Linked DNA regions of Canis lupus familiaris. The protein of the gene in region 2 purifies or fractionates together with the protein of the main gene of each other region. This does not show direct contact. Links are inferred from orthologs where the notes say so. Each region holds a gene or a part of one and is shown on either strand. Other genes may lie near its edges.

Region 1 (4,240 bases), on a different chromosome or scaffold from region 2:
AGAGCTGAAACAGACTCTAGTGATACTCTAGCTCAAAATCCACTCCTCTCCATCAGCTGAAGAAACCTAAGGCTCAGCAGCCACTGGCTTCAGGTCATGGAGCAGGTGAGAGGCAGCTGGGTCTCTCCACAGAGCCTGGCCACATCCATCACATTCACAAGAAACCAATGAGCACACAAAATCTGAGGTGGGAAAAGGGGAAGCTGGAGCCAGCTCCCTGCCCCAGGGGGTTAAGCTCAGATGGCTCTGGTCATCCATCCGGCCAGGGTTAGCTTTCTGACCCTATCCCCAGCCACAGCCAGCCTACACATGCTCAGAACGTTCATTCCCTGCTGCTCCATCACATCTTGGCCCTCGACCTGCAGTGCTCTTTAGACAAAATGGGCATGAGAATCATCTTGAAGCTAAATCCTTTCTGGCTCACTCATCTATTCATTTACTAGGCTCGTGTCTCATGCCAGATGCTGTGCAAGCAGCGGAAAGACATGACAAGCAAGACAGATGTGGTGCCTACCTTGTGGGGTTCATAGTGAAGGGGAGGGCACAGCACCACAGACCCATGACACCGCTCTAGAAGTGCGGCACTATGACAAAACAAAGACCAAGGGCAGCATGAGGTGGGAAAGGTGGTCCTGAGGAAGGGACTGTAGTAAACAGAGACCTGGCCCCAAGAAAAATGAGGCAGCCCTTCCTCCTTAAGCTCCTTTGGGGAAGAGACTATCCTATTCATTGGTCTATATCAGTAGGCCCTCAACCAGAGAAAACTCTGCCCCGTAGGGCAACGTCTGAACACACCGCTGGTTGTCACAATGGAGGCACCTCGTTGTATGGAGACCAGGGATGCTGCTGTCCAACACCACTGGACAGCTCTGCACAAGAAATAACCCAATCTCAGCAGTGTGGGGGGTGGAGAAAGTCTGCTCTAAGGTCAGTCAACAAGTATCTGCCGAGTCCTCCCATATGGCAGGCAGTTACCTTCCACTCAACTGCAGACCTAGCACAGAATACATGTCTAATATGCAGGTGACCGGCTGTCAAGAAAATGGGTTTCAATCTCAATGTCTTTCTTGCCCACTGCATTCTTCTTCCAAAATGGAAGAACTGACATCACTCCTAATTTAAGGCTGCTAAGCCTTTAGCCAAGGGTCCCCCTGCAGTGATAGCGCACACACACTCAGCTTTACAAAAGCTGAAATCACATTAAATAGCACAGGAAGGAAAAGAAAAATATTGCCTACTTGTAAATACTCCGATCTGAGTGTGCTACCACTCCGATTTCTCGATTTCTCGCACAGGAAGGGGAGGGACAGAAGATCAGAGCTTCTCTGGGGGAGAAGCAGGCTGGCATCTGGGTGCCCCCGTCTAAGGAGGTGAGGGCTTCAAGGCAAGGCTCAACACAACAGCATCTACCAGCAAGTGAGGTTACAGACTCTCTTCAAAACATACATTAACCCTAAGGCAATAAAAATCAACTATCTGGCAGGTAATAAAAAAATAATAATAAGATGCAACAGATAGGAAAACTGGTTTTGCCTTTAATTTCTTTAATTAAATAAAGGAGAGATCTCCGAAGGCTGTAGCTTCTCTACAGACGGAAGCCCCCACCTGCCTCCTGGCTTGTTTCGCTTCTGGTGTGGATTTCTTCCACTGTGAGGGGACGCGAGTGTCCCGAAGAAGGGGCCAGCAGCCAGGGCAGCCACCCGAAAGCCACCCCACCCTCCACTGCCCTGTGTCTGCACTCCTGGGGGGAGTGAGTCATTTCATCAGGGCCTAATAAGCCACCAGGACCCGGGCGGAGCTGCCTCCCAGGCAAGGCAGCTTTCGCTGCCCCCACTCCCAAACTGAAAATCCACGCTATTTTGGAACACGCTGGGTTAAATGCTCCATTACTAGAAAGATGAGCAGACTGCTCCAGATGACATCATGCTGGGGGGGGGGGGGGGTCTTCACCAGAACCCTGTCGAAGACGCCACAGCCCCCCCACGACTGGAGAACCCCACCTGCCCTGCACCCCGCACCCCTGCTCACTGTTCCCTGACCCGCAGGCCCCAGGCCCAGCCCCCGACTCTGCCTCCCACAGGCCTGCGCCCTCCTCGGCGGCCCTGTAGGTCCCTCGCACCCCAGGCCCGCGCCCCCGACCTCTGCCCTCTGGGCCCGCACCCAGACCCCCAGACCCCCGCCCTGCACCCCGACCCTACGCCCCCGGACCCCCCGCCCTCCATGTCCACACTGGACCCCGTCCCGCCCCCCCACCGACGCCTGCCCTCCGGGTCGGCACCCGGACCCCGCCCCGCGTCCCCGCGCCCCCGCGCCCCCGCGCCCCCTGCCCCCAGGGTCTGCACCGGCCCCCGCGCCCCCGCGCCCCCTGCCCCCGCGCCCCCGGTCGGCTCCGGGACCCCGCCCCGCGCCCCCTGCCCCGCGCCCTCGGGGTCTGCACCGGCCCCCGCGCCCCCGGCCCCCGCGCCCTCGGGGTCTGCACCGGCCCCCGCGCCCCCTGCCCCCGCGCCCCCCGTCGGCTCCGGGACCCCGCCCCGCGCCCCCTGCCCCGCGCCCTCGGGGTCTGCACCGGCCCCCGCGCCCCCGCGCCCCTCGCCCCTCGCCCCCGCGCCCCTCGCAGGCCGGGTCCCGCGCCGCCGCCACTCACAGTTGCGGATGTCGGAGATGAAGACCGCCAGGCCCCGCATCCCGTCCCCCTTGGACACGGCCGGCATCTTCGGGCCCGGGGAGCGGCCTGGGCTGGCGGGCCGGGAGGAGGAGCCGAGAGCGGGGAGCCGGGAGCGGGTCGCCGCCGCCTCAGGAGCCGCCTCAGCCGGAGCCGCCTAAGGCTCCGAGAGCCGCTTTCAGGGCCGCCGCGCGCGCGCACGCACGCACGCTCGTCTCGCGTGCGCGCGCACGCTCGCCCGCGGATCGCCGCGTGCACGCGCGCGCACGCGCGCGCGGCTGCGGGCGGAGCGGGGACGAGCGCGTCGAGGCAGGTGCGGGGGCGCCCCCTGCAGGCGGGAGCACGGGGTTCGTGTCCGAGGCTCCCCATCCGCCCCCCACGACCCTGTCCAACCCAGGCTCTGGGGCAGCTTACTGGTCTGCGTCCGGAGCCCCGAGGGCCTTACGTGCACGTCACCGCTGCCCAGGGCCACCAGCCCCTTCCTGAGGCCTGAACACGAAGGACTGCCCACCCCCACCCCCTCCCCGCACCGCACCCTCGGACCGCGGGCCGGTCTAGACCTAAAGCCCTCCAGGCCCGGCCAGAGCCCTGTGCCATCTGCCACCACCCACCACCTCCTCTTGCCCCAGACGTGAACACGGAGGACCGTCCCTGTGGTCAACAGAGGCCTGGAGCCTGGACCACCCACCCCACACTCCCCCACCCTTCCACCCCCCAGTCTGTGTGGACAGCAGGTGGCCCTGTTGAGCTCCCTTTGTGAAGCCAAATGGCTTCGAAAAGGAAGCTTTCTCCTTAGGGGGAGAGGGGGGTTGTCTGGGCCCCAGAACCTGGTGCAGGCCCCCACCCACAAAAGAGGTCTGTCCCTCCCTGGCTCACTTCCTCAGTTCCCAGGGAAAAGTCAGGGCTGGCTAGACCCTGGCCGGGAGGAGGAAGGGGTGGGGCCCCTGCCACAGACGAGGCGCCCCACCCAGGCTCTGGGCCTGCAGGACCCCCTGGGGGAAACCGGAACCCTGGACGCTGGAATCCTTATAAGGAAGCAATTTCACCAGCCTCCAAGACCTTCTGAAGAGCTGGGCCTGGAGAGGGCTTCCTGGAGGAGGGGAGATCCACAGGGAACACATCCTGGCACCTGGAGATAACCCTCCCATGGCCAAGCCAGGGGACTCAGACAAGCAGACCCTGACCCACTCACGGCAGCCACTCATGGAACAGGACGATGCCCAGAGGTTGCAGGGACCTACGTGGGGCATGGACAGACTGCCAGCTCAGGCAGAGGTGGAAGGCTTCTCTGAGGGAGGCTTGGAGTTGCGCAGACATCCTACCCGCTTTCAGAGATTCTGGGCCTCCCAAGCCTCCTGACATTCCCCAAAGTACGTCTTTGGGGAGGGGGTCATGAAAAAGACCCCACACTGTCCCCCAGCTCCCAGACCTTGCCAGACACACAGCTCTCAGATCATTATTACCATGAGATCTCGGACCTGAGTCCACTCAGCCCTACCCAATCACGGCCACTCCTCTGCAAGGGACAGGCCACCTTTATGAGTATGAAGTGCTTGGAAACAGTTTCGTAAGTTGTGT
Region 2 (4,339 bases):
TATCTGAACTCTCACTTCTAACTCGAGTCTGAGAAACGATCCCTAATCGATTGCAATTTACGCCAAAGTGCAGCCTAATAACAAGATAAAAGGATTTACAGAGTGAACGAGTTGGCAAGGCAACAAATCTACTTTGCAGTCAAAAGGTGAGCACACAAGATGGCAAGGAACACAGTAAGCAGCGAGCGTCCACAAAGCCAGGAACATATGGGATCTCCTCCATTTCCTCAGGGAGGGTCTTGCCCCCACAGGTAGACCTTCACCTCACCTTGTTGTTTTTTCCTTAAGGAAAGGGTGGTAGTGCCTGTCACTGTTCTTTTACAGGTGGTACAATACCTGTTTTTCACTCCTAAGTTTGATAAGCCCTTTACCATTCCCTTAGAAATGTTACAACACCACATTTGCATGCAGAACAGAAGAGTCAAGTGTGGCTCTCCTGATAGGATCACTGGTGTGATTAGATCTCAGGTTTTACTGCTGCAATTTCTTTGTAGGATACATCGAACATACCATGACTAGAATCAAAAACCATTTCAAAAGTGACAAGTACCAGCATCTAAACATTAACACCCAAATGCAAACAGATAAAATGTCCCATAAGAACACTGAAAAAGTAGTAAAATAGTTAAGTTAGAAAGCAATCATTGCAAATGCTGAACTTTAATTAATGATATGCACATGGAAGCGTCATGGGGAAAGTACACCAAAGCCTGCTATTTACTTCAAAATGCAACAAAAAACGTGGATGGGCGATCTGTTCTATGACAAAGCAAATATGGCAGAAATGTAACTTGTAGGTTCTACGTGGTGGTTATGCGGGTATTCACTGGAACTGGAGGGCACTGCTCCTAAGGGTCTCACCAAGTGCCCGCACCACAGCATGAGTTGTGAGTGGTCAGTGTAACCACCAAACCATCATGTGCCTGGTCTCCTGGGGGACTCGCGACCTTCATTTTTTCCAGGGAGGTTTTTCTACAATTTGCTTGAGCTGCAAGCGAAGATTGCAGAATGGTGGTGTCAACTCCTCCTGTCTCATCTTCAACAGCCTGTCAGTAACATCGACATGGCAACCACCCGGGATCCTGTTCTCACATGTGAAGGGGTGTGCAAAATGCTAAATGAATGTCGTGACTCAAGAAAGGAGGCCAGCTTTGGACAATCAAATTAGAGCAGAAGCAAGCAGGGTGTCACCTTTGAGGCTCCTCTCCAGGCTGGTACAATCTTTTAAGACGTTTTGCCTTGGAACAGTAAGGTAGTAAGCAAGCAGCACTGGATGGAGTCAGTGGCCTTGGACAACCAGGAAGTACGGTCCAGTGGGCAGGAATCTGGAGTCAGCCTGCCTGTCTGATTCCAAGCTCTGCTTTGGGACCGGGGCTAAGTCCCACAGCTGTTCTGAGTCTCCACCTCTCATCAGCGTTTTGGGGGATACAGCTCCTACACCTCCGTAGTTACCAAGATCACCAACCCAGTTTACTCACATGGAAGGAAACTTGGCATCTAGTTAGGGCTCAATTAAATGCCCGCTCATGTTACAAGACAGGGGTGCTCCTCCCCGTGTGCAGGCTTTCCCCTACATAAACTCTTGTTTCCCAAAGGCCCACACGATCTCCTGAATGCTGGACGGCCCGTTAAGAGGATCACCCAGGGCGGCCCTGTCCCAGGAGAAGAGCGTGAGCTGCCGGCACGTCCTCAAGCACTCCAGCAGCCCCGTTACACAAGGAGGTTAACGAGGGATCCAGCCAAGTATTGACACCCCACGCCCCCAATACCATCTCTCCAACGTACAGGCAGTGAAGACCCACCCGTGATACACTTACTCCCCCGCGGGCGCCAGACCTCTCCAACACCTCCACCCGGCCCAGGCCCGGGCCCAGGCTCAGGCTCAGGCCCAGGCCGGGCCGCCCGCCTGCCGGGGCAGCACCCACGGCAGGGCGCACCCCCGGGCCCCACCCCAGGGCCCTCCGACCACCAGCACCACCCGAAGCCCCGGACTCTAAGCGCTGCGGGCGCGGCCGGGCCTGGGGAGCAGAGCCCGCGGCGCTCTGTCCACACAAGTTCGGGTCGCGGCACAGGACCTGGGTTACCTCCCCCATCCTCCGGACAGGTGCGCGTCCAACAGCCAGAGAGAGAGAGAACAGTTAGTCACACCTCGAGCAGATGGCGTTCGGCCCCGTCCTCGGGGCACCTTCCCCACTTAAAAAGCACGTTTTTGGCACAAGTCATGCGACAGCCAAGAAGGGCCGCGGCCTCCCTTCCTTCCCGCGCCCCCCTCGTGGGGCGGCCCGCCCGCCCGCGCGGCAGCGGCGCGGTCCCCGCGCCTCCCGGGCCCCCCACGGGGCAACTCCACCCACGCCGCCCCCGTCCGCCGGCGCCCGCAACTCCCAGCCCAGGGCCGGCCCGAGGGCGGCTCCGAATCCCGCGGGCCTTGCCGGGGCCGCCGCAGGGGGAGGGGGCCGACGTGAGCGCCCTTCCGCCCGCCGCGGCCCCGACCACTTCCGGGCCGCGGCCTCGGCGCCTCCCACTCCGCCAGCCCCGGGCCACACTCTTTCTTCTCGCGCCCGCTGTCGCGCCGCCGGGCCGCCGTCCCTACCAAGAGGCCGAGGGGCGGGCCGGCTCCACCACGCGCCCCGCCGAGCCTTGCGGGCGGCCCCCGGAGCTCGGATGGGGTCGGATTCCCCCAACTTACATCTTCCCGCCGCCGCCACCTCCGCCCGCTCTCCTCAGCCTCGAAGGCCGGCGCCGCTCTGGCGTCAGGATTAGGGAGCGGGAAGGCGCTGCTCTCCGGCGCGCGGCGATGACGTGACCGCCTCAGCCAATGGAGGGAGCGAAGGGAGTGTTAAAGGGCCCCGGCCGTTCCCGACGGGCCGCGTCGGGGCCTCGTCTTCTGTCTCCCCCGCGAGGCGGGGATCTGGGGCGACCCTGGGCCGGCTGCGTGCCGCAGGGGGCCGGCCGACTGCTGGGGGCGGGAGGGCCGCGCAGGGCGGGCGGCTCCGGGCCGGCGCCGAGGGGGTTAACGCAGCGGCGGCCCCGCCCCCCCGTTGCGCGTGCGCACTGGACTAGCAGCCCGGGTTCCCGCTCCAGCGCGCGGGGCGGCGGGGGCGGTGAGGTGGGCGGCGGGGACAGTGCGGTGGCTGGCGGGGGCCGGCGGGGGCAGTGCGGGGACCGGAGGGGACGGTGCGGGGCAGGGCGGGGGCGGGGCGGGGCAGTGCGGGACAGTGCGCGGCCCGACGGGGGCAGTGCGGGGGTGCTGAGGGCTGTGTGGCCTCTGGCTGCGGACTGTGGGGTCTCGCGGGGCGCCAGCTGCCCAGAGAGCTGGGCAGGAGAGGTGCGGAGTGCCCACGCGGTCGTTGGCCCTGAGCGTGGACAGGGGCAGTGCTGCCATCGCAGTGGGGAGCGAAAGACCGGATAGAAGAGAAGTTGCGAAAGGGCAAGCACCCCGGAGGAGGAGGGGGCACTGCGCCAGACCAAGACCCGAGGGGAAGGAGGCGCCCGGTGAGGGAGCAGCAGGTGCAGGGGCACGAAGGGGGCTCGTTGAGGGGAGGCCAGGGGGCGACTCGCAGGCCAGGGCCGGGCAGGTGAGGTTCGGGTGCCGAGCGGGAGCCTGTGCAGCACCCCCCCACCCCCACCCCCACCCCACACCTCGCGGGGGACAGTGCAGGCAGGGAGGCGGACTCCTCTGTTGAAGTACGGCCCGGGCCAGGCAGGAGGCTGGGAAGAGTAAAAGCCGCGCCGAGAGGGCCAGAGCTTTCGGGGTGTGTTCCCCGAGGTGTCTCCCACGGAGTCCCTGCCCCAGTCTGGCTACCGGTGGTTACCCCAGGACTGAGTGGGAGGAGGGAAGGTGCACCCTGCCCCAGTGGCTGTCTGCACAGGTAGGTGCATCAAGGAGGAGAAGGGAACAGATCCAAAGCAGATCTCTTGGAGGAAGGAGCTGTGGTGACTTGGAGATGGATTAGCTGCCGGGGCGGGGGCAGGAGAGTCCGGGTTGCAGTGTGGTGACCAGGGATGGATGGACAGACTGTGGACACCGTCTGCAGGCCATTGCTCTCTGCTCTGTATGGTTTTCCCAGCACATGGATGGTGACGCCCTTTCCTGTGCAGCTCCTCTAGCCTGGTCTGGTGGGTCAGTGTACCCCTATACCTGATGGAGGGGTGTCTGAGAGTCACCAGCAAAAGAGCAGGGAAAAAGCAGTTGCCTCCTGAGTCCCTGTTTGCTAAGACACCAGGACGCTCTTGGAGAATGAGCTGGGTTGGCAGGCAGAGTGGGTCTGAGCGCAGGTCCTCCCTTTGGATTTAGATCTGCCCTAGAGTTGTGGGGGTCCATTTAGAGCAACTTAAATTC

What was found. The genes of interacting proteins can lie anywhere in the genome.
Region 1: the proteins of RNPS1 (region 2) and AP2A2 purify together in Homo sapiens (co-immunoprecipitation; 3 studies listed by BioGRID and IntAct, with this or other methods). This does not show direct contact. The link is inferred for Canis lupus familiaris from reciprocal best matches to the Homo sapiens genes RNPS1 and AP2A2.

The regions. Positions count from the first base shown.
Region 1 is NC_049239.1:45,693,613-45,697,852, reverse strand, and holds the start of AP2A2 (AP-2 complex subunit alpha-2), read right to left. Parts: upstream 2,854-4,240; 5' UTR 2,712-2,853; coding exon 2,645-2,711; intron 1-2,644. UniProt on the Homo sapiens protein: Component of the adaptor protein complex 2 (AP-2). Adaptor protein complexes function in protein transport via transport vesicles in different membrane traffic pathways.
Region 2 is NC_049227.1:39,163,091-39,167,429, reverse strand, and holds the start of RNPS1 (RNA-binding protein with serine-rich domain 1), read right to left. Parts: upstream 2,827-4,339; 5' UTR 2,689-2,826; coding exon of another isoform or gene 2,687-2,688; intron 2,168-2,686; exon of another isoform or gene 2,149-2,167; intron 75-2,148; 5' UTR 1-74. UniProt on the Homo sapiens protein: Part of pre- and post-splicing multiprotein mRNP complexes. Auxiliary component of the splicing-dependent multiprotein exon junction complex (EJC) deposited at splice junction on mRNAs.